4 linked regions of the Rattus norvegicus genome follow. The protein of the gene in region 1 binds, or shares a complex with, the protein of each later gene. Links are inferred from orthologs where the notes say so. Each region holds a gene or a part of one and is shown on either strand. Other genes may lie near its edges.

Region 1 (7,201 bases):
TTCTTGCCTACTTGGATCATCACTCTGCTAGCTCTGGTGGTCAGAGACCCCTACAATGGCTGCCCAATGTGTGCAGTTTGACTCTCAGAGAAGGTAAGAAACTTTTCTGCAAATAAAAGTGGAGAGTAGGGGCTGGGGATTTAGCTCAGTGGTAGAGCGCTTACCTAGGAAGTGCAAGGCCCTGGGTTCGGTCCCCAGCTCCGAAAAAAAAGAACCAAAAAAAAAAAAAAAAAAAAGTGGAGAGTAGGAGTTTAGTTCTCTTACCCACAACTGTAACTGATAGAGCAAAATAAGCATGGGTTCTTCTCTGTCCTCTGGGGTAAAGTGTTGTAAGACCCCAAAGTGGCCCTACCTCAGGGCACAACCCACAGATCACAAATAGACAAGGAGACCACTGCAATGGCAAGAGGTTTAATCCACATATGTGGGGTTGCTTATTCACACAGAGAGAGGCAACCCCGAACCCAAAAAGCACACAACTTTTATTCTTTATAGAGGGCAGACTTCAGCAACAGGGTTAGTTGGCTTATTCTCATTGGTGGTACACAGGAGAAAGGATCTGGTCAGGTATTGTTCAAGGGGCTGTTCTTGGCTCAGTTAGACACTTTCGTCATCCAGCCCTTCACCTGGCCTTGGAGAATCACTGGGAAAGGGCTAAGTTGGCAAGTCCCCCCAGAAGGGAGGAGGAACTGGGTGGTCAGGCAGGGTCAGGATGACATCTTGTGGTTGTTCTCAGGATTTACCACAGGGAGGGGTAGGGGGGGTCTTTTTGAGAACAGTTGTTTTGTTTTGGCTAGTTTCCATTAAGCCTGGTCACTCTGACCACCAAGACCTTGCTCCTGTATTCCCAAAACTTCTTTCTTACAGCTTTGTTTCTCATATCTATGAAACTTTATTTCTTCAAAAACATTTTATACAGTTGTTGAAATGTTTGTCAAGATCCAGAGAAAAATTATTAAGACCAATTGCTCTGCAACTTTGTAAGTGACTAAAATTCAACCACTTGTGTTGGTAACTGGAAGCACATAGGAGCTAATACAAAAAGAGCCCAGAAAGGGGGAATAAAATCCCTGAAAATTATTTGGGAACGTGGACCCTTTCAGATGGACCAGTAAAAAAACAAACTGTAAGCTGGACACATTTTGGCAGAGCCAGGTGAGTGGACTCTGCAGCCACTCTTGTAGTACTGAGCCAGGTGTGTTCAAGGCTGGCCTTCCTGTGTGATCTGACCAGAATTCAGAGCCCTCTAGCTCTGCAGCCCCTTCTGCTGCCCATCTCCAGCCCAGTGGGGAGGGGAGTCTAGTGACAGCTTGAGTTGGGCATAGGCACTGCTACATGAGCCTGGAGCTTGGCTACTTCCACAATTTGGTTTCGGTTTCTGTTTTTCCTCACAGTGGGAATGACCCACTATAAATTGAAGTAGCCCCTTTATGGAGAACATTTAAAACAGACTATACATTCCTACCTTTGAAGAGACAACCCTGTGTGTTTAACATTCTTGGTTATCTTAGTGTTTATTTGTGAGCACAAGGACTTCCATGCCTTCTCCATTTTTTTAAATTTAACTTTTTATTGATTCTTTGTGAATTTCATACCATACACTCCAATCCTACTCATCTCATTGTCCTTTTGTACACACCCTCTTCCCTTGCAACCTCCTGACAAAAGAAAAAGAATCTCGTTGTGGAGGCTGTAGTGTGTCCTGTAGTACACCCTTTGTCCACACTTCTTTACTTGCAAACGTTCATTACAATGAGTCCTGCATTCCAGCAGTTCACAGATGGGGCAGATGATGGCGTGGACCATCTGGGCCTGGTTGGTAGCTGAGTTGGGCAGTCTGCCAGCTTCCTTACACCCATACTATTCTCTTGAGCATTGCCCCAGCTAGCTCATGCAATGTTGCAAAGGGACAGAGTCAGTTCTCCTGCTCTTATGCCCTGGCTCATGCAATCCCAGCAACCAGGGCCAGCTCTACCTTACTTTCTGGGCTTCAAGGCCCATTCTCTTAAATGCTGCAGCTGGTGAAGTGTAGGGCCAGCATTCCTGCAATCACTCCTTCTGGGCCAGCTCTCCTAGGATGCTCAGGTGAGGGGTGGAGCCTGCACAGCCCTCAGGAATCAACATGGTCCCAGGCAGCAGCCTGGATCAGAGAAGTCCACTAGGTTTTGGTGGTAACAGACCCCCTGCTGCTGCAGTGCCTTGGACCCAGACATGGCCTTAGGTAGCAGTATTGGTCAGGACCTCACCATAGCCTTAGGTGGCATCACTGGCTTCTCACCTCAGGCTGTACCTCACTACCCTTAACTTTCCAGTTCTGCTTCTCTTTCTCTTCCATCTCTCCACCACTTACCTGCTCATCTTAGTGGCACCTGGGGCTCTGGGGTTATCTCAGGAGTGCTATGCCCTGCCCATGCTACAGTGTGACACCAGGCAGGGGACATGTTGGGAGTGGTCTGCCCACCTGGGCCCTGTGGCACTTCTAGATTTTCCCACATTTTCTTTTCTTATGACCTTCCAATTCCTCCTTTAACATTTAACTCATGTTACTTTCCCCTGAAACATCGTCTGCCTAAATAGTTAAGAGTTATAGTCTCTGTTCCCTCAAAGTATGTTTATCTCAGGCCATCTTATAATATGTGTTCATATTTCTTACTCCTCTTCTAAGAAGTCTTTCTTTAGGGATCATTTCTTATTATACACATTGTGTGTGACGCATACCAGATACTCACTGTATCTGCACAGGTCAGATCTGAGGCTCCAAACCCATTCCTATATAACATGAGGAAAGAAAGAAGAAACTTGTGTTTGTTTAACATTTATAACATTTATAATTACTGAGGATCTCATAATGCTAGGTGAAAGTAGCAGAGTTCCTTTTCACTTTTACACCAGTGCCAAAGACCTTTTATAAAGAGGTTCATTCTACTGAACTAGCCTCCACTGATTCTTGGGTTAATCATCAGGCACAATTCTTGCATATGCTTTTTCACATACAGCATAGTGATATAAGCCATTAAACACTCCAAATATTATCTGAAACAACAGAGGAACGGCCATTGCTTTCATCCCAGTTTGACAAAGGAGTAACCAATGGAGCATAACTCTTCCCTTTGGCGGCACTGGAACAGTGTGATACCTGAAAATGGAAAAGAGTCAGAGATGTCTCCGGGATCCCATAGCAAATGCTACTGATTTCTCCTAGTCATTTCCAGTATATGTTTATCATGTAGACAACAACATTAAATGCTAGTTACCTATTTTGTTTTGGTTAGCCCTTAGCTAAAGAAAAAATAGAGTTTATCAATACTACCCCATCAATAAAATTAAAAAAAAAAAAAAAAAAGGAAGGAAGGGATAAAAAGAGAAAGGGCAAAACCATCCAGGATCGAAAAATGGAAATAGGAACAAAAAAGAAATCACAAGGGAGACAAGTCTGAAGATAGGAAACCTAGGAAAAGAGAGCAGGAGTCATAGATGCAAGCATCACCAACAAAATACAAGAGATAGAAGAGAGAATCTCAAGGGCAGAGGATACCATAGAAAACATTGACATAAGTGTCAAAGAAAATGCAAAATGCAAAAAGCTCCTAACCCAAAACATCCAGGAAATCCAGGATAGAATGAGAAGATCAACCTAAGGATAATAGGTATAGAAGAGAATGAAGATTCCCAACTTCAAGGGCCAGTAAATAGCTTCAACAAAATTATAGAAGAAAATTTCTCTAACCTAAAGAAAGAGATGCCCATGAACATGAAGAAGCCTGCAGAACTCTAAATAGACTGGACTAGAAGAGAAATTCCTCCCATCACACAACAGTCAAAACACCAAATGCACAAAATAAAGAATTTTAAAAGCAGTAAGGGAAAAAGATCAAGTAATATATAAAGGCAGACCTATCCGAATTATACCAGAGTTCTCACCAAAGACTCTAAAAGCCAGAAGATCCTGAGCAGATGTCATACAGACCCTAGGAGAACACAAATGCCAGCCCAGGCTACTATACCCAGCAAATCTCTCAATTAACATAGATGGAGAAACCAAGATATTTCATGACAATCAAATTTATACAATATCTTTCCACAAATCCAGCCAGACAAAGGATAATAGGTGGAAAACTCCAACACAAGGAGGGGAAGTACACCCTAGAAAAAGCAAGAAAGTAATCTCCTTGCAACAAACCCAAAAGAAGAGGGCCACACAAACATAATCCCACCTCTAACAACAACAACAACAACAACAAAACAGAAAACAACACTCATTATTCCTTAATATCTCTTGATATCAATGGACTCAATTCTCCAATAAAAAGACATAGACTAACTGACTGGATACATAAACAGGACCCAGCATTTTGCTGCATAGAAGAAACATACCTCAGTGACAAAGGCAGACACTACCTTGGCGTACAAGGCTGGAAAACAATTTCCAAGCAAATGGTACCAAGAAACAAGCTGAAGTATGCATTCTAATATGAAATAAAGTTGACTTTCAACTAAAAGTTATCAGAAAAGATAAGGAAGGAAAAAGGAAAAGGAAAAATCTATTAAGATGAACTCTCAATTCTGACCATCTATGCTCCAAATGCAAGGGCACCCACATTCACAAAAGAAACTTTACTAAACTTCACTAAATCTCAAAGTACACATTGTACCTCACACAATAATAAAGGGAGACTTCAACACCTCACTCTCAGCAATGGACAGATCATGGAAAGAGAAACTAAAAAGAGACACAGTGAAACTAACAGAAGTTATGAACCAATTGGATTTAACAGATACCTATTGAACATTTCATCCTAGAACAAAGGATTATGCCACTTTCTCAGCACCTCTTGGTACCTTCTCAAAAATTGACCATATAATCAGCCACAAAACAGGCCTCAACAGATCCAAGATGACTGAAATAATCCCAGGCATCAGAACACCACTAAGGCTGGTTTTCAATAACAACAAAAACAACAGAAAGCCCGCACACATGGAAGCTTAACAAGACTCTACTCAATGACAACTTGGTAAAGAATGAAAGAAGAAAGAAATTAAAATACTTTTTAGACATTAAGGAAAATGAAGGCACAATATACCAAAACTTATGGGACACAAATGAAAGTGCTCAGTGCCTCCAAAAAGAAACTGGAGAGATCATACACTAGCAGCTTGACAGCATACCTGAAAGCTCTAGAACAAAAAGAAGCAAACACACCCAAGAGGAGTAGAGGCAGGAAATAGTCAAACTCAGAGCTGAAATCAACCAAGTAGAAACAAAAAGAGCTATACAAAGAAACAACAAAATTAGGAGCTGGTTCTTTGAGAAAAATCAATAAGATAGATAAACCCTTAGCCAGACTAACCAGAGGACACAGAGACATTATCCAAATTAACAAAATCAGAAATGAAAAGGGAGACATAACAGAAACTGAGGAAATGCAAAAAATCATCTAAAAAAGCCTATACTCAACAAATCTGGAAAATCTAAATGAAATGGACAATTTTCTAGACAGATACCAGGTACCAAGGTAAAATCAAAATCAGAGAAACCATCTAAACATCCCCATAACCCCTAAAGAATAGAAGTCTCCCAACCAAAAAAAGTCCAGGACCAGATGGGTTTAGTGCAGAATTCTATCAGATCTTCAAAGAAGACCTAATACCAATACTCTTCAAACTATTCCATAAAATAGAAACAGAGGGAACAGTATCCAATTTGTTCTATATATCCACAGGAACTCTGATACCTAAAGTACACAAAGACCCAACAAATAGAACTGCAGACCAATCTCGCTTATGGATATTGATCCAAAAATACTCAATCAAATTCTCAAAAACTGAATCTAAGAACACATCAAAACCATCATTCACCATGATCAAGTAGGCTTCATCTCAGGGATGCAGAGATGGTTCAGAATATGAAAATCCATCAACATAATACACTATATAAACAAACTCAAGAAAAAAAAAAAGGCATGATCATATTAGACGCTGAGAAAGCACTTGACAAAATTCAACACCCCTTCATGATAAAAGTCTTGGAAAGATCAGGAATTCAAGGCCTATACCTAAACATAGTAAAAGCAATACACAGAAAAACCAGTAGCTGACACCAAATTAAATGGACAGAAATTTGAAGCAATCCCACTAAAATCAGGGACTAGAGAAGGCTGCCCATTTTCTCCCTACCTATTCAATATAGTGCTTAAAGTTCTAGCCAGAGCAACTAGACAACAAAAGGAGATCAAAGGGATACAAATTGAAGAGAAAGAAGTCAAAATATCTATATTTGTAGATGATATGGTAGGATATTCAAATGACCCCCAAAATTCCACCAGAGAACTCCTACAGCAGATGAACAACTTCAGCAAATAATATAAACTATTTACAATAGTCGCAAATAATATAAAATGCCTTGGTGTGACTCTAACCAAGCAAGTGAAAGATCTGTAAGACAAGAACTTCAAGTCTCTGAAGAAAGACATCATAGATCTCAGGAAATGGAAAGATCTCCCATGCTCATGGATTAGCAGGATTAATTTAGTAAAAATGGCCATCTTGCCGAAAGCAATCTACACTGAGTTAGAAAGAGCAATTTGCCAATTCATTTGGAATAACAAAACACCCAAAATAACAAAAACTATCCTCAATAATAAAAGAACTTCTGGGGGAATCACCATCCCTGACCTCAAGCTGTATTACAGAGCATTCGTGAGAAAAACTGCATGATATTGGTACAGAGACAGGCAGGTAGATCAATGGAATAGAATTGAAGACTCAGAAATGAACCCACACAGCTATGGTCACTTGATCTTTGACAAAGGAGCTAAAATCATTCAGTGAAAAAAAGCATTTTCAACAAATGGTGCTAGTTCAACTGTTGGTCAGCATGTAGAAGAATGCAAATCGATCCATTCTTTTCTTTTTTAAAGATTTATTTATTATATATAAGTACACTGTAGCTGTCTTCAGACACAACATAAGAGGGTATTGGATCCCAATACACATGGTTGTGAGTCATCATGTGGTTGCTGAGATTTGAACTCAGCACCTCTGGAAGAGCAGTCATGCTCTTAACCACTGAGCCATCTTTCCAGCCCAAATCAATCCATTCTTAGCTCCTTGTACAAAGCTCAAGTCCAAGTGGATAAAGGACCTCCACAAAACCAGATATACTGGAACTAATAGAAGAGAAAGTGGGGAAGGGTCTTGAACA
Region 2 (8,286 bases), on another chromosome or scaffold:
GAGGTAGAGTTTGAATCCACAGAGTGAGTTCCAGGACAGCCGAGAGGCAGAAGCAAGTGGATCTCTTTTGAATTTGGCAGGCCAGCTTAAGTCTAAATTGTAAAAGCTTGTCAAAAGAAAACAAACAAACAAAAACAAAAACACTGAAATAAGCCTGGCCCACGTGGTGGTGCATACCTTTATTTAATCCCAACACTCAGGGGCAAAGGCTCCAGGATTTCTGAGTTCAGGGCTAGCTTTCCCCAGGTCCTGAGTTTAATTCCTAGCATTCGTGGTGACTCACAACTTGTGAACTGATGCCCTCTCCTGATGTGCAGACTCTACAAGTAGAAAAAGCACTCATATACATAAAATACATGCTTCTTCTTTTTTTTAAAGTACCTTAGGAAAAAACAAAGCTAAAAAGAATCCTAGGTGGGACCTACTGAAGTTAGGTCACTGAAGCAGGGCTTCGGAGGATACTAGGACCTACTAGCACCTTTTTGTGCTTCTTACTTCCTTCTCTATCCACAGCAGGGACACAAGCAAGCACTTCTGTACCGTTCACATCAGTGTTACTCACATAGCGAGGGGTGAAAATAACCCATGATGTCCACTGACCTGCTGCTGGTAAACACATACATTCACATTCAAGAACACCCCAAGAGTCCAGTCATGAACAAATCCACGAACACTTCACTGACTCGTGAATTAAGCTCTGAACAACACCAAGTTAACGCTAGGAAACAAACCATGATTCCCTCCATGGATGTCAGAATAACGAATCCAGAGACAGATTGGCTGCCGCCTGCCAACAGGTGGCGGTGGGGAGAAGACAGAGGCAGGGGCAGCGGTGGCCAAGTGCCTGCGTCCTACCTGAGGTAATGAAGTACTGGAATTAGCCAGCGGCCATGGCTGCCAACACAAGGCTGCGCTGCGTGCCCGGACAATGACAAGTTATGATTCGATATGCACATTTAAGGGGCTTTTTGAAATTACAATATAATTACGCATATTTCCCCTTCCCTTTCCTCCCTCCAAAACTCCCTATATCCTCCTTTGCCCTTTCAAATTCATGGCCTCTTCTTTCCTTAAATATTGCTGTGTGTATGTGCATATGCTTCTAAATATAACTCGCTCACTCTGTACCTGCATGTTTTCAGGGCCACCCATTTCATACTGGATAGCTAACTGGTATGCCCTCGTCTGAGGAAGACTACCCCTGCCTGGTTGAGGCCTTGTGGTGGACCCCTCAACACACACACTTTTTTTTTTCTTCTTTTTTCTTTTTTTCAGAGCTGGGGAGCGAACCCAGGGCCTTGCGCTTGCTAGGCAAGCACTCTCCCACTGAGCTAAATCCCCAACCCAACACACACACTTCTATTAATAGTTATCCGTGTTCATGCTCTGCTTATTTTATAGAGGACCAGCAAGATGGTTCAGTGGGTGAAGGTACTTGCTGCCAAGCCTGAATTTAATCCCTGAGACCCAAATGATAAAAGGAAATTGACTTGGAAAAGGCTGTCCTCCAATCTCCTATGTGCACAGTATACACACACAAATAATTAAAAGAAAAATTCTTTTTAAAGATTTATTATATACACAGTGTTCTGCATATATTTCTGCATGTCAGAAGAGCATACCAGATCCCATTACAGATGGTTGTGAGCCACCATGTGGTTGCTGGGAATTGAACTCAGGACCTCTGAAAGAGCAATCAGTGTTCTCAACCTCTGAGCCATCTCTCCACCCCAAAAGAAAATTTCTTAAGGGAAGGAAATTATTAAACAGTTACAAAACAAAGCATTCTGATGGACAAATTACAAAGACCAGGGCTGCTTTCCTTTAATCCAGGTACAATCACCTAATAAGCATGTGCTTGTTATTCATTGTGAAAAGCAGCACACAGTGTCCCTCAGATGAAGAATTATTGCCTGGACAGAGTCCCTCTGCCCCAATGACCCTGCAAAGCTGAGTGTGAGCACCCCAGATCTCCTGGTGATCACGTAGTCTCAGGGGATGCTGCTCCTACCTCAGTTGGTGTACAGTGACTTCCTGACGGGAGAAACAAGTCCACTCTGGGCTTTAGCTGTGGCCATTCAGCTGGTGAGCCTGAGGACCAGTGATGGACCCCAGTGGCAGCCTGGAAGCCTTGCTCTACGTTGTAACTTCTGGCTGCTTACCTTACACACTGGTTTTGCCTGTTCATGGTGCTGGTATGGAACTTAGGACTTTACACATGCTAGGCAAGAGCTCTGTCACAAAGCCACAGCCACAGCCATTATTATTTTCATATCCGTCCTCATGAGAGGAAGGGTCTTCCATCTCAGAGTGCAATTCAAGGTTCAGGAACTCAATACCCTGTCCCAGGTCAAGGAACTAAGGCTCAGCAGAACCCAAGTCCCCAGGCTCCACATCCTATGCTCCTCTGCCAACCCTCCCACCTTGCAGCTTCACAGCAGCGGGCTGCCTCGGCGATCTTGGCATAGTGCTCCTCTAGGAACTGCCTCTTCATAGAGACTTCTGGCCACTATCTGACAGGATGTCCTATATAGTATAATGTTCCACTAAGGGCTTTTTCCTAAAGCTGGTTAATGCCTTCCTTTTTGGCCCAAGGCAACCTTGAACTTCTCCACCTGCCTATGTCACCAGTATTGAGTACAGGCAGGCACAGTCATGGCTGGTTCTATGCAGTACTAGGGACTGAACCCAGGATGTGAAGTCCTACATGCTAGGCAAGCAGTCTACAAAGTGAGCATCAGCCCAGTCCCTGGTATTAGCTTTTGTCTCATCCATGTTCTTGACCAGGGCTACAACGGCCTACTTGCTGTTCTTGAGTGTGGCCAGGGTTCCGAATACTTGTGAGAAACGATCCCTGTCCAGGATTCGGCCATAGCGTAGGGTGAGGTAGAAGGTCTGCTTGCCACTGTACTGCTGGATACGCACGAACACATCCTGGACCCGTTCCTCGGATTCTGACAGGGGTATCATGTCTGACACGGCACAGTATGTGTCCTGTCGCCAGCCCCAGAAGGTCAGGTGGGCCACTCGAAGCAAGGTACCTGACTCATTCACATAGAGGATGCCTACCAGTCTCCGGAAGAAGTGGCTCATCCAGCACAGCATGACCAGGGCAAAGCTGGCAATCCCACTCATAAGGCCCAGTGAGCTGAGGGTCATGAGGCCTTGTGAGTAGCAGTAGAAGCCTGGGGGCAGGGCCACCACAGTCACAGCTGTCTGTGCCAACTTCAGCCGAGACAGGAACCCAAGTGCTCTGATGGCATTGAAGCGGTAGATTGTGTGGAATTTTTCAGTCTCTGTGCCTGGTGGCTTCTCCTGTGAGGGGGGAGACCTGCTCCCCACCCACCTTATGGAATCCCCCTGCCCAGCACGGCACCACAGTTGCTGTAGAGGCCTCCTCCATGCAGCGGGCCCCTGCAGCCTTGGCACAGCTCGAAGGAGGAAAGCCTGGAAGAGAGAGGTTCCTTTCAGAAATCATCCAGGCTAATCACACAATGAACAAGGCAAAGCATCTCCCAGAAAGGCTTCAACCAACCCTGGCAAGACACCGTGACTGCCAGAGGAAAGTAAGTGATAAAGCCAGAAGCTTTATTTTTTGTGGAATTCTACTCTAGATAAGTACCATTCTCCCATTTTTTACAACTAAATAAGCAAGCAAACAAAACAAAACCCTAATCCTAGCCAGTGAGATAGCCCATCTAGAACTGGGGCTTGCTACCAAACCGGGTGAATTTGATCCCTGAAGCCAACATGGTGGAGGAAGAGAAATTACTCAAGCAGGACATCCTGGACCCCTACATGCCATAGCACAAGTAAATGCACACGAACTAAACACACACACGATTAAAACAAATTTTAAAAAAGCATTAAAAAACAAAACAAAACAAAAAAACCAACAACACCAAAAAAACCCTAGGCCCTCCCCACCCCTGGCCCTGGCCCCAAGTGCAAGGAAACAAAAGCAGTCTCTGACACTCAGACAGGTCCTTTCCCCCGAGCAGGTCCAAATAAACATAGAAAACCTGTACGTCCAGCCATTCAACAGAGATGGGCCAACAGTGCACTTAAAACTTCCTTCCTTCCTCAAAGGGTAAATCAATCGGTGTCGGAAACCCACACAACAAAACCATGGGGTACTTATCACAGAACCTTTGCAGTCCTCTGACTGCCTTACACGCCAAGAGAATTTCTTCGCATGAATTAGCCTGGTTGGGAAGCAGAGAAGTGAGGCACGGAGGCCCTCAACACACTGCACAATGACTGTCTGGAATAAGTAGAAGAGTGAGCAAATTCTGGGCTTCAGAGTAAGAGGACACTAACTGTGCATCCTTCATCTTTCCAAAGAAAACCTCAGAATACGCTAGGGAGACATGGTTCTTTTTTTTTTTTCTCTCTCTCTCTCTTTTTTTCGGAGCTGGGGACCGAACCCAGGGCCTTGAGCTTGCTAGGCAAGCGCTCTACCATTGAGCTAAATCCCAACCCCGAGACATGGTTCTTAAGCGCTGAACTTGGTGTGCGCACTGGGACGATGAAGACCGTCCATGTGACCCAAGGGAAAGAAACAAGGCAGAGAAATAGCACGTAAAAATACACTCTGGCCTTCCACCGACTGATTTCCCGAGTGGGCAGCCCAGGTATCCTTCCTGCCAGTCGTAGGCCGGACCCGGTCGCTAAGTGCGGTCCCTCCTTTACCGCCCACCACCTGACATTCCTACCATGAGCCTGTCGCCTGCTACAGGAAGTACGCCGACCTTGTCCCCGGAAACTTGAAGGGCTCATGCGCGGGAGGTTAATGCGCTAACTCAAGGAAAAAAAAAAAAAGTACTACGGCTTGGGAACTGTAGTTCAAATTTTGTATCCGCCCCGAGTGTCCCGTAAGCCATTAGAGAATCTTCCCATCGTGCCTTGGAGTTCCGGGGCTCGGAGCGGACCCGGAAGTTCCGGGTGGAGTTCCGGGTGCCAACGAGTCTTCTGACTGGAGAAATGGCCACGCTCTGTCTCTTTGACATGGATGGGACCTTGACTGCCCCGCGGCAGGTAGGCGGCGCCCGGGGAGCTCCTGGTGGTGGGGCAGAGCCCTTGCTGCCCCAGACCGCCGTAAGGACTGTCCGGGAACCAGTAGACCTAGGTCCTGAGCGGGGTCCTGAGTGGGATGCGCAGGAAGAGGGGGCCAGAAAAGCCTTCCGAGTAGGAAACGTGTTCAGAGTCGAAAAGTTCGGGTCCGAATTTCTTCTAGGGTTCCTCGGGTCTGGTGTCCTGGATTGAACTCCAGCCTCCACCCTCTGACCTGCTGTGTCACCTCCCCAGCCCTGTCACCTCTGACTGTCTCTTCTAGTATATCAAGGGCAGGTTTTCAGCTGTCTGACCTTGAGCAAATGTCTTTCGCGGAGTCCTTGAAGCCCCTTTAAATGTGATGCTTAGGTGAGGATCACAGAGACTAATTAGAAAGTCCGGTGGGACTTCCTTCCGCTAACCGAACTTGTTATAGCCAAAGATAAGTTTGTGTGGGTTCGTTCTGGTGATGGCATTCTCTCTGCCTCCTATGCACAAATGCATGATTGAACAGAAATCATACAAATGAGAGTAGGCTCAAATAGCTTGGGTGTCGCCACCTCTGCCCCACCCCTTTTAGATTTCGTGGACTGTGTCCCAGAAGCCCCTGTAGTGTGTGTAACCTTAGATATGTCAGTCTATCTTTTTTTTAATTTTTTTATTCCTTTGCAATTACATGTGTACAGTGTATCCGATTGTATTCACCCCCCCCCCAACCTTCCTGTGCTCCCTATGGAGAACACTGACCCACACACCCTCTTCTGTTTTCATGTCCTTTTTAAAATTTTTATTTTAATACCTCTCTAAGTCCAGTTAGTGCTACACACACACACACACACACACCACACACACACACACACACAGCCATCCATCAAGTGATAGGCAACATATCACCCATGCTGAAATGTTAACTGGCTTGATCTTGTACAGGGAACCATGGTTGCTGAATTCATAATGTCCAGAAGACAGCATTTCGTTTACCACACTTCTCTCCATCCTCTAACTCATACATTCTTTCTGCCCCCGAGCCTTGGCAGGGTTGATAAAGGGTACTACTTATTCTTAGCACTTTGACCAGGTATGAGTCTGCATTAACCACTGCCCACTACAAAGAGAAACTTTTCTTACCAGGGTTGAGAGCAGCATTAATTATGGGTATAAACATAGATATTTAGAAGGCAATTTGACAAGATTTCCATTTAACAAAACAACAACCATAGGTTTCCCCACAGTGCCTATGAGCTCCACAGTCATAGACTTTTGACCAAGTACTGTACGAGGCATTAATTCCTTCCTGTGGAATCGGCCTTATATTCAACCAGGAAGTGATTTTGCTACCCCCAAAACAGTCATTCCACCATTGCACAAGCCAGTACACATTGCCCAGCAAGTCAGTGCTGTCTCGCAGGACCCATGGCTGGGAAATGCCCCAAATGACTTTCCTTCCACCGTGCTTTACATAGCACCTTCCAGCACTATGAAAGCTAAACATGCCAGTTCCAGCCTGATGTCTCTGTGTCTTGAAACTGAAGTGTGCAGTGTCTCCAGCAATATGGATTTACCATTTAGTTAGGGTGGGCGACCAAGAGCAATTTCAATAGCCCGTGTTATTTTGGGGTCCTAGTTCTCTCTGGTCAACAATATCCCCCCACACCTGGAACCAACGTTTTTGTTCTTTGTTGTTGTTTTTTAAATAATTCATGTCCTGTAGAAGACATTTGTATGTATACATACTTTACCAAGTAGTAGGTTTTCAGAAAGCTTTTAAATGCATCCTTAGTTGTAGTTGAACCACAACCCACCCTCTTCTGTCCCTCATTCTACTTTTCTGAGCCAGTGTGATCTGTCCAGTGATGACATTCCACTACCAGTTCTCCAGAGCCCTTCCTGACTTAGCTTCATTGCCCAACACACACTGGTGAGTCAAGCCAGTAGCTACATGGGCAGGTGGCATAGGGTTTTAATCCCTTCAGGGAGATTTGAAAGTTCAGGGCTAGCCTAGGCTATATAAAGTGTTTGAGACAAACCTTCAGAACTTAAAAGCCAATAGTAGTCTAGAGCCGGGAATCAGAATTCGTATTTTGTCAAGGGTCATATATTAAGTACTTTTGTCTTTGCATATGGCCTGCAGTAACTACTCAACTTTAGTGCAAAAGCAGCCATTGACCATATATAAAGAGTGACTATGTTCTAATAAAACTTGATTACAGAGGCCATTGAGATGTGGTCACCCCTAAGCCTTAGGACCTGAGTTCAATTCCTGGAGTCCACATGATGGAAAGAGAGAACCACCTCCAACAAGCTGTCTTCTGACCTCCCCTTGTACATTGTGGCACACATACATGCATACACATAATAAAAATAAAATTATTATAGAAACTGCTCTTCAGTTGGCCCAGGAACCATAGAGGTTTGGTTTGTTTCTTTGGGTAGGTTTTGGTTTTTCAAGACAGGGTTTCTTAGTGTAGCCCTGCCTGTCCTTGGATTATTTCTGAAGACCAGGCTGGCCTCGAACTCATGGAGATCCACCTGCCTCTGCCTCTCAGATGCTGGGAATAAAGGCATATACTACCCAGCTACCACCATTCTAACATAAGGAAATTGAAACTAGTAAAGCCCTGACGCCTCCGCTCCTACAGCAGCTGTGGTTCAAGGTCCTGAACTTCAGGGCACTGTTCAGTGTCCTAATTGTCATTCCCTTTTCCAGTGCCAGGACGGAGGCCACTCCAGGTACTAGATAAGCTACAGGGAAACTGCCTCTGTGTCCCTGGATAGCAAAGAAGAGCCTGGTGACCAGAATGTGCTTTCAGCATTTGGAACGATATGCTTGCAGTGATCACGGTCAATTGCAGCAATAAAAGAAAACTAACTTAGAAGTGAAGTCTCCTATATGCTGGGTACTGCAATTAAAATACTCCAGCAACAGATCTATGTATCATCAGCCTTCCCTCCCTCCATCCGTGTGCATCGTCAAACATCACTAATCACAGTGCAGTCTAGAAGAGGAAGAACAAGTCACCTTTCACTGTGATTGTTGTAACGGGATATGACCTCTGTGGATCCCATGTGATTAGCATGGACTCAGAGGTTTGCACATTTCCTTGTTTGTATAGAAGTCTGTCTTCCTGGGTGCTTTCTTCCGTAAAGGGTAAAACTTGAGATAAGCTTTAGGGAACAAAAGGACATAAACCTCCATGAATCATTTTCCAACTCTGGCATCCTGAAAAATCTCAC
Region 3 (8,338 bases), on another chromosome or scaffold:
TGCTGAGATTACAGGTGTGAGCTGCCATGCTGGGCAGTCTTTCAGGTTATATTTACTGATCTATTGTGCATGTGTGTGCGTGCATGCATGTGTGTGGAGGTCAGAGGACAGCTTGCAGCACTGGTTCACTCTCCCACCAGTGGGTCTCAGCATGAGCTTCCACTCATGCTGAGGTGCAGCAAGCACCTTCATACATGAATCGGCCCACTGGCTCATACCTGACAGTTTGAAAGATTTATTCGTTTACTTTGTGTGTATGTGTATACACATGTTTATAGGCTATAATACTTTTGTGGAAGCCAGAGAACAACTCTTCAGTAGTCTTCTACCTCACTGTAGGAATGCCATAGCATCTGGCTTTTTAAAAGATGTATTTAATTACTTTTATTTTATATGTATGGGTGTTTTGCCTGCATGTACATCTGTATACTACATGCATGCCCAGTGCCCACGGAGGCTAGGAGAAGGTGTTAGATACAGTGAGAGATAGTTATGGTCCTCAGGGACCTTTATTCCCTGAGCCATCTCTCTCTTTTCTTTGGTTTTCAAGACGGGGTTTCTCTGGGTAGTTATAGCTGTCCAGGAACTCAGGCTGGTCTCAAACTCAGATTCTCCTGCCTCTGCCACCTGAATGTTAGGCTTGTGCCACTGCCACCTGGCTGGTTTGTTTGTTTATTTCTAAAAAAATTTTCTTTTGCTATATGTACGAATACTTTGCCTTTATGTATGCACACCACATGAGTGCCTGGCGCCTGGAGAAGTCAGAATAGGGCTTTGGATCTTCTGGAACTGGAGTTTCAGATGGTTGTGAGCTACCACGTAGGTGCTGGGAATTGAACTCAGGTCCTTAGGCTTGGCAGCAAGCACTTTTACCCAAAGAGCCATCTCACCAGTCCCCTCTTTTTACTTTAGGTACTTGAGATAGAACTCAGGTGGCCAGGCTCCTGCAGGAAGTACTTAACTCTCTGCACTGTCTCCATGGCCGCTCTGTTCTTTCTCTTGCCTGAGTGCTACTACTGGCAGCTCAACACTGACAGCACTGAGAAGTGGCCAGAGTACACAGCCTTGTCTGGCTCCTAAACTCTGGCAAAAGAATCTATTCTTTCACTGGGCATAGTGAGCACCTTGTCTCAGTCCAGAGAACCCATTCTCGTGAAAGAGGTCCCATGTATTTTGCAAAAGAGTTTGCTATTCTGCCTGTTCTTCCCTGGGCCCTTGTCCTGAACACTGCTACTGCTCTCAGCCACTCTTGTGGAAAGGTGCTTTGCTAGAGATGTGCATTCCAAGGGAGTTTCGATGCAGCTGTGCCTGAAGCTCTGTTGTAATAATTGTTACATGGAAACCTATCCCCAAAGTTTTACTGTATTTAAAGGTGTTAGAAATAAGTCACTTGGCATTAGACTCCAGAAGTTTGGAACCAGTACCAGCTAAGTTCTGCTGACCCAACTTTCATTCTTAACTTCATCTGGACCGCTCCCTGCTGGCCGTGACACTTGCAGGGACCACAATAGCCAGCCTGTTCTACACAGTGAGATGTCATTTCAGACAAATGAAAAGAGTAACTGTTGGATTTTCTCAAATACTTTTCTGTATTGCCTGAAATAATGATGTGATTTTAGGGTTTTGTTCTATTAATATATACATAAATTTTCAGATGTTAAACTAACCTTGCAGGGCTGGAGAGATGGCTTAGTGGTTAAGAGCACTGACTGCTCTTCCAGAGGTCCTGAGTTCAATTCCCAGCAACCACATGGTGGCTTACGACCATCTGTAAAGAGATCCGATGCCCTCTTCTGGTGTATCTGAAGACAGCTACAGTGTACTTATATATAATAAATGAATAAATCTTTTAAAAAAAAAATGGGTTGAGGATTTAGCTCAGTGGTAGAGCGCTTGCCTAGCAAGCACAAGGTCCTGGGTTTGGTCCTCAGCTTTGGAAAAAGAAAAAAAAGACAAAAACAAATAATCTAACCTTGTATTTTGAAGATAAATTCTCTTAGGCAAGATGTAGAATTCTTTTTGCATGCTCGCAAGCCCACTGCAAGCGAATTTTACAGTTGTGTTCATGAGGCACTAGTCTGTAGTTTCCTTAGTATACCTGTTTGCTTTTGTATCAGGGTAGCTAGGCCACAGAGAACATGTTAGGAAGAGGTTGGATCATTCTTGCCACCACTAAGACTTTCTGGAGGTGGGTGTTGTGCATACGCCTGTAAATCCCAGTGCTGAGGTGGAAGGTGGGATCAGCCTTGGATACACAGCAAGTATGAAGCCAGCCTGGGCTACAGGAAAACTTGTCTCAAAATCAGGAAAAGAAAACCAAGAAAACCAAACCAAACAACAACAAAACTCCTTTTGGGGTGACAAGATGGCTTTGCAGACAAAGGCAGTTGCTGCTAGTCTGACAACCAGAATTCCATCCCCGAAATCCAGAGTGGAAGGAAAGAACTGACCCCACAAGTTGTCCTGACTTCCGCTCCTCCAGTGGATGAACACACACACACACACACACACACACACACACACACACACACACTCTCTCTCTCTCTCTCTCTCTCTCTCTCTCTCTCTCTCTCTCTCTCTCTCTAAGTAAAAACAAACAAACAACCTTCTCTAGTTGAGCCAGACACAGTAATGCACACCTTTAATCCTAGCATTCAGGAGTAAAGGCAGCCAGACTCCTGTGAGCTCCAAGCCAGCTCAGGCTACATATGAGAACCTATTTAAGGAGAAAAAAAATCCAACTCTTTTTCCAGTATCTCCCATCTTGGCCCCAAATCTCCCTCCACTCCCTGCTTTCTTTATCCTTAGAGCTTCCCCTAAGCCATGATTACACACTGGTTCCTCCTCCTCAGCAGCCTGACGGCTGCCCTAGTCCTGTCAGTAATGCCCGCCCAATGCACCGCTGTGCTCAACACTTTGAAGGCAATGACTTTGAGGTGTCAACTTCCAAGTATCAGACAGTGACGTCCCCTCCCTTATAGTCCTTGCTAACATCCTTGGGTTTCTCCCTGGCACCCGTGCCTACTTCTCAGCCAATCATGAGATGCCTTTCAATGTCAGCATTATCTGCAACACTGCCAAGGGTGCAGACAAATGCCCTGGGAGCACAAAACCTGTAGATTCAGGCTTAGTGGAAACATGACCATACTTCTGACAACTTTTATCAACAGCTGCTGGCCTAGGAAATGTAACTAGACTGGACTCAGGCTGGGACTCTATAGACCTGGCCTAGACTCCTCCAGGGAGCTGCTGGGCCCAGTGAGCCTCTGCTAGATTCCCCTAGTGAGTGGCTGGAACTGAGACTCAGTGTTATCTAGAATCCCCCACGGAAAGGCTGATGGTGTGGCTCAAGGTAGGTACTTGCTTGGTATAGTTGGATAAAAAGACTCTAAAACCTTGCAAATTGTGTTCCAGGACCTGTAGAATGTTGGCTGTAACTCAGGTCTACTGCATGAGAATCTGCATTGTAACACCCATAGGTGGCTCCTCATGCATTAGAGTTGTTAGTGTTTATGCTCATGGTTCCCTAATGTTTTTGCCTCCATACCTAAGTATAACTTTGGTACAAACCAGCCATGCCAAACTCCATCCAGGGAACACTGACAACACCTTTGCTGACTGTGCTTCTCTGGAGGCCAGCCAGTAGCACCACCCTTCCTGGTTATTCAGGCCCCAATGTAAGAATTGCTCAGCAGTCACTATGTCCCTATTCAGTCAATAGATAGTCCTGGAGACTACTTCCAAACCTATCCCCTTGCAGGCCACCATACCATTCCACAGTGATTTCCTGCATACCTTTCTGCCTTCTCTCTGCCCTGCTAGTTACTTCCCTCCATTGCAAAAGGAAGCTCTTAACAACAGAAACCAGTTGTGCTGGAAAGATGGATCCATTGGTAAACTGTTTGCCCTGAAAGAATGAGGACCTGAGCTCCAGCACCCATTACAAAGCCAGGTGAGGTGCCATGCACTTGCAATCTGAGGAATCTGAGAAAGCAGAAGCAGGCAGGCCCCTGAGCTCCCTGCAACAGAGCCCTGAACTCCCTGTAACAGAGCCCTGAGCTCCCTGCAGCAGGCCCCAAAGCACAAGGTGGACAGCTCCTGAAGAACAACATCTTAGGTTGACATTTTTCCTCCATACATGTGCTTACATGTGTACATGCACTAACATACATCCCTGTACCCACACAGGAACACACAAGAATGCTGGGTGTGATAGCACATACCTGTAATCCCAGCATTTGGGAGACACAGGCTGGCGGATCTGAGTTTGAGGTGAAACCAATCTATACAGACAGCAAGTTCCAGACCAACCAGGGCTACATAGTGGGACCCTGTCTTTAAAAAGAAAATGTGCTTGAGATAGGTGTTGTGTGTGTAAAGCCAGCACTGGGGAGTGTGAGGCAGGAGGATGGCCTCCAGAATCAAAACAGCTGGAGATCGTTAGTGAGCTCCATGGCAGTCTGAGCTACAGAAAGGTCCTGTCTAAACTTTAAACAAGAGCAGGGAGAGAGAATTCAGCTGGGAAAGGAACTTGCTGTCAAAACAAAGCAAACCTAATGACCTGAGCTCAAACCCTGGAACCAACCTAAGGTGTATGGATAAAACCTCAGAGCTGCCCTCTGACCTGCACCATGCACCATGGCACATGTGTCCCACCCCCCACACCATAACCAAAATAAAACTTCAAAGTAAATACACATCGGATGGCTTCTACCTGCTGTACTCCCCCTTTCTCTTGTAGCACCAGCTACACTGTTTCTGAAACAAGACAAGTTTATTGGTTTCCCAGGCTTTGAACTTGTTTTACCCTCTGCCTACTGTTTACTGTTTTGGTGTATGCCTATAATCCAGAACTCGGGGGCTGAAGCAGGAGGACGATCATGATGGGTTCGAGGCCAGCTTGGGACACATAAAGACTCTTGAATCAGGGAAAAACACACTGCTTGCAACAATCACTGTTTTGAAATCACGAGATTACCTGTTCTGTGTGTGTGTGATTTGCTCAATAATTGGCTCTCCTAGATAGTACTTTTTTAAAAAATCTGTTTTTCTCATTGTTGTGTCTCCACCAACTGGGTCAGTGCTTGGCACACTGTAAATGCCCAACACCGATCAACTGAGTGTGAATAAGCAGAAAGTTTCTACAAGACATGGATAAATCGGAACAGCGAGGTAGCGTGTATGTATGCGTGTGGGCTGGCACGATTTTGAGTCTCTGAGGCTGGAAGGTTCCAATGCCTGCCTCACAGACAATGTACGTTGCCCGAGTCCGCTATCCCATCTGTGAAACGAACGCCTGCAGCAAGAGGTGCCCAGCAACCTTTCCTTGCTCATTCCCAAGCCTGCACCTGAAAAGGTCACAGTGCCCTGACTGAGGTCGAGTTGAAGGTCATATTCCCCGGCTCTACCAGGCTTGGAAGTGGACGCCCCAATCCCAGACGGTCCCATAGCCCTCCCACGCGCGACCCACCTACTCACGCGGCCACCCGCACACCCGAGCAGGCTAGCTGGGACCGCTGGGCGCCGTCATGTTGAGCCACACAGCTTCCGGTTACGAGTCGAAGGTGACAGCAAATCAGAAAAACCTGTGACGATAGGTCCCGCCCTCAAGTGGAGATCCACCAATAGGAAGGCGGAAGACACTGGTTTCTCCTCAGGAGCAGGCCCTGCTGCTCACCGAACTCTAGAAGCCTTGGGTACCGGTGCGGAGGCGCTGGATCGGGTTCCCCTACGTCTGTCCGGTCCAGTTTTCTCCGCCGTGATGGTAAATTATTGTTACGGACTGGAAGCACCACATCCGGTTCGGAGCCCATGGCCTCTTGCGTGCTAAGCAAGCACTCTACCGCTGTCTGCTAAGCCACAGCCTAAGTCCCGGGATTTATTCTTATTCTTTTTACTAAACGGGTTTTTTTAGTTTGGTTGGTCCAGTTGTTTGAGTCAGGGTCTTGCAGTGGTACTCAGCCTGGCCTCAAAACCCTGGATTCAAGAGATCCTCAGGGATCAGCCCCCTGAATAGCTGGAACTTCAGGTGGGCAACACTGCCAACAGCTTTAACAGAATGTCAAGTTATGTTTATTTTCATTGTGTGTTATGTGTGTAAGTAAATCTGTGTGAGCACGTTCGTGTGGAAGTCAGGACAACTTAGGGGGAATGTTCTTTCCATGTGGGTACTGGGGATGAAACCTGGGTCATCAGGCTTGGCTATGAGCACTTTTACCGCCCCTAAGTAACAATTTTTGAAGTTTGAATTCATCTATGTGAAATGGCCATATAAGTACAACAAGGGCTACTGTGAGAAAGGACATGCATTCCTGACACCCCTCTCTCCCTCCCCAACTGGGAGTCTAGATTGACTCTTCAGACCACCCACACTGAGAGCTTAGAGGCCTATGGAGTGTATGTGTAGATGATTGGATGGCCCTGGATTTGTTGTATGTGTGTATAGATAATAGCGATTACATATAGATATATTATTCATATGCATACACAGACGCATACACATATACATATATTGATTGAATATAGGCTTTTTTTTAACATTGTTTTATTTTGCGGGTGGTGCATGTGGCGATAATTTGCTATAATCTATCCTGGGAGTCCCAGGGATTGAACTCAGCCATCAGACTTGACAGCACTTTACCAAGCTAACCTGCCAACCTCATAAGTAATCATTTTTAAGACAAGGTCTTGTGCAGCCTGGACTAGCTTTGAACTTCTGTGTAGCTGAATTTGACTTATCTGATCTTCCTGTCTCTTTTGTCCTGGGATTACAGGCCTATGCCACCACACATTGTCTCTGTAGTGCTGGGGTACAGTCCAGAGCCTCTGACATTGTAGGCAGTTACTCTACCAACTGAGGTATAGCCCCAGTCCTTTTGTTTTGCTTAGACAGGGTCCTGCTGTGTTGCTTGGCCTGGCTAGCCAGGAACTCTTTATGCAGACCAGTTTAGCCTTTGTTTACAGCTCCAGTTGGCAGTGTAAACCTGGGAGAGTGGAGCCTCATTTTGAGGCTGACTAAAGTCTCCTTCAATAGCCACCATTAATTCAGAGCTTCAGGCAAGTTATACTCTGAGGGTTAAGAGGCATCGCATGGGTGAGGTGTTCAATTATAAGGCCATGCGTAGTAAAAACATGTCTTCCCTAGAGGCACATGAATAACAAGGGCTGTAATAAATGCACTGCCATTCACTACACCTGGGCAGAAGCACAAGAACAATTCTGTGTCTTGAAGAAATGGAGGTCACAGGAGTCATATCTTCTTTCCTTACGAGCACTCAGAACCCTCACAAAAACTCCATTCTTGGACTATGTTCTAGCAGGCCTTGAACTCGAAGAGATCTGCAGATATAAGACATGCTACTGCAGAGAGGGCTGCTCTAGACCCGACCACACATAAGCATCCCATGCCACTGTGCTTGGCCACTAGATTAACTGTCTCTAGGATGTTAGCTACTTTTAGGATTTTAGGATACCTATTATTATGTAGCCCAGGTTAGCCTCAAACTGTATCTGTAGCTAAGAAAAGAAAAGAGAAGGAAAGGAAAGTGAGCAAACCCAGCACATGCCGCCTGTCATCCTAGAACTCGAGAGATAGAGAGTCAACACTTCAGAGTCACTTGACATGGGGGAGCCTGGGCTAATAAGACCCTGACTCCAGAAGAAGGAACTTAACCCAGGGATGGAGTGAAGTGATGCCATTGAGGGGTGATCGCGAGACACGAAAGTCACCAGTTTTTGAGTACTGGTGTCCTCATATGAAGAGAAGAGGCAGAAGCAAGCACACCTCTTAGAGCTAAGGCCAGCCTGGTCTACCAGTCTTTTCCAATCCACCTAGAACTACATAATGAGAAACCCTGTCTCAAAAAGTGTGTGTGTCTCAAGGACCCAGAGGACATGTTCTCATTCTCCATCTCTTACCACGCAATGCTTTGTTTGCACTTACTGGGCACCTTGCCAGCAAGAAGGCATCAGTCAGTGTTGAGCCTTTAACCTCCAAAACATACATTAAACTGGATGAATCCTTTATAAGCCTACCCAGTCTTGGGCATTTCACTATAGTGGCATGAAGCAGAGTAAGACACCCAGACAAGGCAGAGGTAGATCTAGGGCCTTGATGTCTCTCTGTCAACCTTTTACTGCCTAGTTAAGGCTGTCCAGTGAGAGATGATGGGCATGCTACTGACCTTTCTATGACCTTTTGGACTATGGCTTCTGCCATTTACTGTACTGGTAGGGCATGCTAGCTGGGTGGGACCAGGGAGCCAGTTACACTGTTACGACTTTCTCTTTGCCTTTGATGGTTAATTTTTTTTCTTTTTTCTTTTTTTCGGAGCTGGGG
Region 4 (7,648 bases), on another chromosome or scaffold:
CCGGTTAATGGGACATCTCTCATTCCCCAGACACTTTCTGGGTGCTTGGCAGTGTAGCCAAAGTAATAAACACTTCCAAGCAGCAGTGGGAGAGATGAGAGCTAGCCGGGGACGGGGAGACAGAGTTAAGTGTTCCCAGAGGACAATGTGACAAGGGCAATGAAGGGCAGGCTAGAGGTGTGGTCTCCAGACATTGTCACAACACCAATGCTACTGTCCTTCCTTGTGTCAGCTCTGCAGTGAGCCTTAGTGCAGGCTACTCCCCACCCACTGTTCCAAGACCGGGCAGCCTTTTCCTCTGGCCTCCTATAGGCAGGGGCCAAGGAAGACATGGGAATGCAGCACATACTTGATCCTCGAGGTCAGGATGCGTCCAGCATGCTGCAGGCCTGTCAGGGCAATGAACAACCGAAGAATCTCATTGGTTCCCTGTGGCCAGAAGTGTGAAGGTCAAAAGCGGCCCAGCAGTGCCATCTGTGACTGGTTAACTACAGCCACTACACACAGGCTGTGGCCAGGTGATGGGGATCACACAGGGAAGGAGAGTAGGGCTGACCAGATGATATGGCCTCCCTTTCCCTGGAACTTCTACCTCTCACAGGCTGTCCTGCATGGTCCACACCTTTCTCTAGGTCCCAGAATACTCAGGGAAACCAGATTTCCCAGGGTGATAAACGATACGATACCCGGGACACAAAAGTATGGAACAGATAACCCATGGCTCTCTTTTAGACCAGAATCCCCAGCAAACAATAGACAGCTGAGCAGCAGTAGCTGTAAACTCCTCATGGGACACGCCCCATTACACACACATGCATACACACACGCACAGACACACACACACACAGACACACACAGACACACACAGACACACACACACACACACACACACACACACACACACACACACACACACACACACAGTGCTTCTCAATGTAAGAGCAGTACCCAACAGGACTCCTAGACTTCTCAGACAACTTTACTATAGAACAACTGTAGGCCACTGGCCTAGGCTTGCCAGCCAGAACCATCCTGCAGTCAGCTGGACTGGCACCAAGGAGATAGAAGTTTGCCTTGGCAGGAAAACTGGATATGGAGGATCTGGGGTATGGCCCCCGGCTCTGAACAAAGTACACCTCACATCATAACTCTCCCAACCTTCTGGGAATTACGGTCCTGAGAGCAGACCCTGCTTGACCACACCACCTTGTCAGGATCTAGAGGAACCTAGGTCTCTTCTGTAGAGTCTCTGCCAATAGAGGGCAGCCACCAGACAAACAGCTTAGACATGCCTTGCTCTTGAAAAAGCTAACCCTTCTGCTATTAGGTTGTGGCTGACTGATAAGGCAGAGATATTGGCTGGGACTAAAAGACTGAGGAGACCTTCCATTGGAGCTAGCAAGAGTCTAAGGATTCGCCTCACTGCCAGACCACACTGCAGTTCAAACCCCCTTCCTGCCTAAGTGCCCACCTCGCATGGCCATGGTGACACTGTCAAGACTTATCCATCTTGCTTGTCCCTTCCTCCCAGGAGAACACTGCACCACCACAATAATCCCTTATCAAAAGTTTCCCCAGGCTTCCAAAACCCATGTACTGGTCAAGGTCATCCACGACCCAGCTCCTTTTCTATCTTTGCCATTCAACCGCCAACATCCAACTCCGGCACATTCTACTACCGTATCCAAATTATGAGCAGGGTGACTGATGTGTCCACAAATACTTCCTTACCCCTTGTTTACCTAGTGCTAAGCATAAAGTCCTATCTGGGTTCAGAATGTGCCATTTGCCTACTTGCCACACAAACTGCCCTGCCCCCCAAGGCAGTTCTTCTGCCAAGGGTCATCAAGTTCATCATGAGACACGAGCTCCCTTTGGGAGCTATTCCCATGCCTCCATGTGTGCTCCAGGCAGGCAGGCCCTAATGGCGTCCCAATGCCCTTCCTATGTGCTATTCTTCAACTCAATTGACCCTGCAGGTTTATACATCTATGGAAGCAATAACAAGAAACGAGAAAGGCAGGGCTGAGCGAGTCTTCCGTGGACACTACTGAGCCACCTCGATTTACTGACAGTGGCCTTATAGCCTGCAGAGGGTGAGATGGGAGTAGCAGGAGCTGGGACTGGATGCTGGGTCTCTCACACATGGGTCCAAACCTGCCCAGCCAGCATTAACTTAGCAAACTACAGGAGTCACTGGGAAGCTGAGGGCTCAGTGAGATGGGCTTTCGGGAGTGTGATGGAGGGGACTCTTTGGTCTCTCCAGTCTAAACACCCTCTACAGAGCAGGGGGGGGAGGGGCACTGATATATTAGGAGGGTTCAACCAGGGGACACAGCCTGCTCTACATCACTGTAGGCCATTTCATTTCTGAACACTCAGCAGCCTCTCTTAGGACTAGGAAGGCTGGAGGGTGGGGTGTACAGGGGGTACAAGATCATCACTGAGGAAGTATACAGGGGGTACAGTCAGTCAGTAGGGGACACTTACCTCAAAAATTAGGAGAATGCGGGCATCACGTAGCATGCGCTCATAAGGGTAGTCCTTCATGTAGCCTGAGCCCCCAAGGATCTGCAGAGCCTCGCTCACACACTGCCAGGCAGCCTCAGAGCTAAACACCTGCCACAGACCCAGACAAGGTTAATCCCTGGTGGGAGCACTCCACAACCTAGTCACTCCCTCCTAAGAGCAAGACCTAAGCTATGGGGAGCAGCTGCCTGGGATGCAGTTGGAGGATGTGTGGAGAACCTGACCTCGGAACTTTCCAGGCAAGCACAGGCAGGACAGACGACACCAGCCTGTGTGCTCTATCCTAACATGACTTGCATGCCTCTCATGCCAACGCCTGGCTGTTATTCACTCAGACTTCCCCTCTTAGGAAGTATGCCCACTCTTGCCATTCTCATGTGTCTGCCATCTTGCTCTCATGACCACTGTCTACTGAGCATCCTACGATAATGACACTTGGATCTAGGGCTAGCCTGTGGACATGGGAATGAAATGGGTCTCACCCAGCACACAGCTGCCCCTCTTCCTAAGCTTAAGCTGGACCCTCATGGATTCACCACTGCCCATCTCTACAGGATGCCACTTCTTCCAGCATTTCTCTTAAGAGTTCTAGAGGTTACTTTAAAGTGGGGTTGTCATCTGTATTACAGCTTTAAAAAAAAACCCTTGCTTAGCCCCACCTCCCCGCCCATTCCCATAGGTCAGCCACCAATTCCTAGAAACAATTTCTACTTGGGACCCTCAGTGGCCACTCAGGACTCGGACTCAGTGGCTCTTAGCACCAGGCAACCTACAGCCTAGAGATCCTGTCCTGAGATCCAGAGAGGGCAACAGAAACTAAGGCACAGAACACCTACCCAACAAAGGCAAGGCCAGATAGATGGCGACACCTACAATACCCCCAGGCGTAACTACAGATTCGATACGCCAGAGCAAACACGCAAACATTAACAACCGAAACATGTCTCCAGCAGAGCCCAGGGCCCTTACGGAAGTAGACCTGAGAAATTCTAATATAGCAGAAGCATAAGACAAGGACTCTAAGGATGACACAAACAAGCCCATTAATGAAGTCATGAAAACAAACAGTGGGATAAAGGTTGAAAACAGCTCAGGACATGGAAGTAGAATCACTAAAGGAAACCCAAAGTGAAGTAAAACCAGAAATGAGTAACTCAGGAAGTCAGTCAAAAACCTCAGAGTAAGCCCTGCCAACAGAGGACCAGACATGGAGGCCAGACTCTCAGGTGTCGAAGGCAAGGTAGAAGACAAGGATAATGTTAAAGTCAAAGAAAATGTTAATTCTAAAAATCCAGGCACCGTGAAAAGATGAGATAGAGAGAGGAAGGAGAAGAAACCCAAGTCTAAGATACAGAAGATATTTTCAACAAAACAAAAGAGAACTTTGCCAACCTCAAAAAAGGACCCCAAACAGAAGCAGCAGGGAATGGATAAGTACACACACACTGCTGTTTATTTTATAGACATTTTACTTTTTGTCCTGACTATGCTTTGCTATTATAAAACTGTGCAGCAGGAGACATGTGCTATGTTCGGTACCCTGAGCTGGTTATTACAACTCCTGCAGCTTCCACAACAGTTCCAAGCGGTGCTTTTATTCCCCTACTTCATCAGTAGCCTGGAGACTAAGAGATCAAGTGGCCGGGTCTAGGTGACACGGTTAGGAGCGGGCAACTGCAGAGTGACCCAGGCTCCAGAGCTTACTGCTGCTGCTCTGATGTGATGGCCGACCAGCGTGTGCTCCTTGCAGGTCTGCCCTGACCTCAACATGTTAGCAGCACCCATATCCTGGGCTCCGTCTAGGTTTACGCGGCCCAAAATGACTGATGTCTGTGGCCTCAGAGATATAGCTTTCTACAGCCAGCACCTCCAGACTGTGTAATACCCAGCTACTTAGTACAGCCCTACTTACCACAGCCCTGCTCAGGGCTCAGGGATGAATGCAGAAGAAAGGGTACAAGAGCCAGAGGTGGTGCATGACGTGGAGGAAACAGTTTCCAGTCACAAAAGAACTGACACACACACACATAAACTCCCAGAGACTATGACATGGGACAAATTCCAGCACGGAGAAAGGGAAGTGGACACCCCTACACAAGAAGTAGTTGATTGCTGCTGGGAAGGGAAAATCATTTTCTTTAATGGAATGACTCTGGGCATACTACCCACACTCCAGGGCAAGCCTGATCCAACTGACAGTAATGACCCAGAGAACAGGTCTGGCAAAAAGGTGGCTGTGCTGGAGAAGGAAGAGCAGGAAACAGCTAACACCAGAGGTGAAGGTAACTGCTGAATGCTGTGGGTCACTTGTTTAACCTGCAGGCATCCATGTGAGACACCAGCACTATTATCTTCCCTTGTTATAGCTCACAGGTAAACCTAGGAGAATCAGTGCAGCAAAGCACTGGCCATCTTGAGAAGGGACGGTCTGAGGAAGCCCGGGACAGGGATATAAACTTGGGACTATTCTGGACTCAAAGGTTGTTTTAGAACATTTCCTATGTGCGATGTTCCTAGAACATTAAGATAGAGCAGCAAAAAGGAAACTCAGGACATGGCCTAAAAGTCAACACAGTTCTTTTACAGACCAAAGAGACCAGAATCTAGCAGCCAATTTTCTAAAAGAAAATTCTGACCAAGAAGAAAGACCATTTACTCTGGGGGAAAAAATGGCATTCCTTTGCAGGAGAGCCCAGATAATTCACATGGATATGAAGTTTTGATGTCTGTGTTTTCTCCTGTGGCTACTTAGTAGGAACAATCAAAAAGAAAAGAAAATGGACACAATCCATATAGGCAAGCAGTGAGCTATCCTGTAGACTCACACTCAAGTGAGTGCCACTCTGAATCCCTTCTCCCAGCTTCACCCTAGGGCCCTGCTGGCCCAGAAAGCTGCACAGGTGCAAATCACAAGATCAAGGGCCATCAACTAACAAAAGGAAGGTGGCTGACAAGCCAAGAGTAGCAGCACAAAGGATGATCTCCCTGCACGCTCTAGTTGCTGGGATTACCTTCACCATGGCTGCCTCGATAGAGCAGTCGGGAAATCCCGGTTGGTCCAGCATCCCTGAAGTGAGGTAAGCCATACTCTCCATTACATACGCCTTCTGAGCCATGAGCGCAAACTTTTCCTGAAATGTTTAGAAGAATAAAATCAAGAAACGATTTACACATGCATAGACTTAAATAAGTCTCCTAACCTCTCTTCTGAAAAAGCCAATTATATCAGAGCCTAGCTGTCCCAGCATCAATAATGCCTGGTGCACTTGTCTTCCCATTCCCCTGCCCACAGGCACGGTACAGAGACAGCAACTGAAAGCCTCTCCCACCTGCAGCAAACCAAAGTCTACAGTACCTGAATCAGCCCAAATTCACTGAGATTCCTATTGAACTGTTTCCTCGTACAGGCATACTCAGCAGTCTGTTCTAAAGAAGAACAGAGTTGTCAAAACAAATAAAACTGGCTTTTGGTTACTGGAAAACTATTTCTAAGGGCAACATGATGACTCTTCAGCACTCAAAAGGAACTGTGAGGGTTCTGTCTTTGAAAACAGAAGCCCTAAGCCAGAGTTCCCACTTTCAAAGCTGGTTGGAGATGGAATTCTCAGGCCTCATGGGTCCACAGGCAGCAGGCAAAAAGGTTAAGAACACAGAATGCTGAGTCAGTTGTGAGGGTGTGGAAGGAAACACTGCCTCCCTCACAGTACCCACCTCTCAGGAATGCTGGGAAGGTAAAGGGGGTGGATGGCTGGAGGCATGTAGCACAAATCAGGGTGCACATGGCATCCAAGTAAGCCATGGGAGTGGGCTCACAGAGTACTACAGTACGGGGAGTGACTCCGCATCAAAGCTCTGCTGGGGCCTCACACCGTGCATGGCTGTTGACAGTGCTGGGTTCTACTTGCCGGGAGGGACATCCAGCTGTCTACTCTCATCCTTAGCTCTGCCTGCAAATGTTTTCCAAATCCTTCCTCTGGTGTGGTCCAGCTGTTGCTGGTCCCCATCTGCTCCGATGCCCATGTCTCTAGATGGCGAGGAGCCTCACTGATGAGAGCCACAGGCATGTTCAAAGGAGCCTGACCCTAGCAGGCAGGTTTACCTTCAGGTCACGATGCACAGGCTTGTGTAACCCCCACTCTCTTTGGACCTTATTTTCTCTACTAATCAAATAGAGAGAAGAACCCAAATGCGTGCCTACATTGTTGTAAGCTCCAACAGGCGTGGATTCACAGGGCTGGTTATTCCAGCACTTCAGACCTACAGCTATGTCCAAGGAGCCCTGTGGCTCTAGTGGGATCAGAGCTAATGTTTTCTTTCACTCATGGAACAAAGTTCACTAAACAGTCATATTTGTCATGGACAAAGCAGCAACCCTTTATGCTCTGACAGATGCCTGACTAGTGTTGAAAATATACACAGCCTCTGGGGAAGGAGTACATTTGGTCTACATCAAGGGTCAGGTGCTAACTTGAGCTGTCTGTCCAAGTGGTGAAGCTCGCTCAGACTTGCCCACCCAGTGGGAGTGGCGCAGACAGTCTCAGGTGCAGCAGAGGGCTCCTGCTCCTGACTTCCCTACTGTGATTGGTCTTTGGTGTCAACCTGAATGGCTTTAGAATCACAAGTCTCTATACTAGGAGACACCTCTTGGCATGTTTGTGAGGGGGTTTTCAGAGATGTTTAACTGAGGAGGGAAGAGCCACCCTGAATATGGAGCCCATCAGCTGAGGCTCCAAACCAAATAAAAGAGGAGAAAGCCGTGGGAGACCAACACCCATTCTTTCTGCTTCCTGACTTCACACACAACGTGACCACCTTCCTCATATCCTAGCAGCCACAGCCAGAGATGCTTTCTAGCTGCACCTTGCCAAGATAGTCTATGCATTCAAACTGGGAGCAAAATCAACCTCCCTTTCTAAAGTTTTGTAGAGAATTTTGTCACAGCAGTGACACATACCAATCAGTTTCTTGAGCATCCCGGCCACAGCACTGCCCATGCTGAATCGTCCACTGTTGAGGATGTTCATGGCCACCTGTAGGGAGAGTGGAAAAGGTGGAGAGACACTGAAGGAGGCTGAGGGGGCCAGCCATACCAGTTTTCATGAAAGCAAAAGCAAGTGTG

The links.
Region 2: Tmem126b (region 1) and Tmem186 share a complex: the UniProt entries of both Homo sapiens proteins name them as parts of the mitochondrial complex. The link is inferred for Rattus norvegicus from reciprocal best matches to the Homo sapiens genes TMEM126B and TMEM186.
Region 3: Tmem126b (region 1) and Ecsit share a complex: the UniProt entries of both Homo sapiens proteins name them as parts of the mitochondrial complex. The link is inferred for Rattus norvegicus from reciprocal best matches to the Homo sapiens genes TMEM126B and ECSIT.
Region 4: Tmem126b (region 1) and Acad9 share a complex: the UniProt entries of both Homo sapiens proteins name them as parts of the mitochondrial complex. The link is inferred for Rattus norvegicus from reciprocal best matches to the Homo sapiens genes TMEM126B and ACAD9.

What each region holds. Positions count from the first base shown.
Region 1 is NC_086019.1:153,849,277-153,856,477, forward strand, and holds the end of Tmem126b (complex I assembly factor TMEM126B, mitochondrial), read right to left. Parts: intron 3,137-7,201; coding exon 2,953-3,136; 3' UTR 2,805-2,952; downstream 1-2,804. UniProt on the Homo sapiens protein: As part of the MCIA complex, involved in the assembly of the mitochondrial complex I. Participates in constructing the membrane arm of complex I.
Region 2 is NC_086028.1:7,486,188-7,494,473, reverse strand, and holds Tmem186 (transmembrane protein 186), read right to left. Parts: upstream 4,876-8,286; 5' UTR 4,719-4,875; coding exon 4,716-4,718; intron 3,448-4,715; coding exon 2,800-3,447; 3' UTR 1,557-2,799; downstream 1-1,556. Other genes in the region: Pmm2 (phosphomannomutase 2), read left to right, coding at 4,984-5,037. UniProt on the Homo sapiens protein: As part of the MCIA complex, required for efficient assembly of the mitochondrial complex I.
Region 3 is NC_086026.1:28,888,845-28,897,182, forward strand, and holds the start of Ecsit (evolutionarily conserved signaling intermediate in Toll pathway, mitochondrial precursor), read right to left. Parts: upstream 5,523-8,338; 5' UTR 5,471-5,522; intron 1,775-5,470; exon of another isoform or gene 1,668-1,774; intron 1-1,667.
Region 4 is NC_086020.1:120,883,471-120,891,118, reverse strand, and holds part of Acad9 (complex I assembly factor ACAD9, mitochondrial), read right to left. Parts: intron 7,560-7,648; coding exon 7,484-7,559; intron 5,956-7,483; coding exon 5,885-5,955; intron 5,661-5,884; coding exon 5,541-5,660; intron 2,620-5,540; coding exon 2,491-2,619; intron 430-2,490; coding exon 350-429; intron 1-349. UniProt on the Homo sapiens protein: As part of the MCIA complex, primarily participates in the assembly of the mitochondrial complex I and therefore plays a role in oxidative phosphorylation.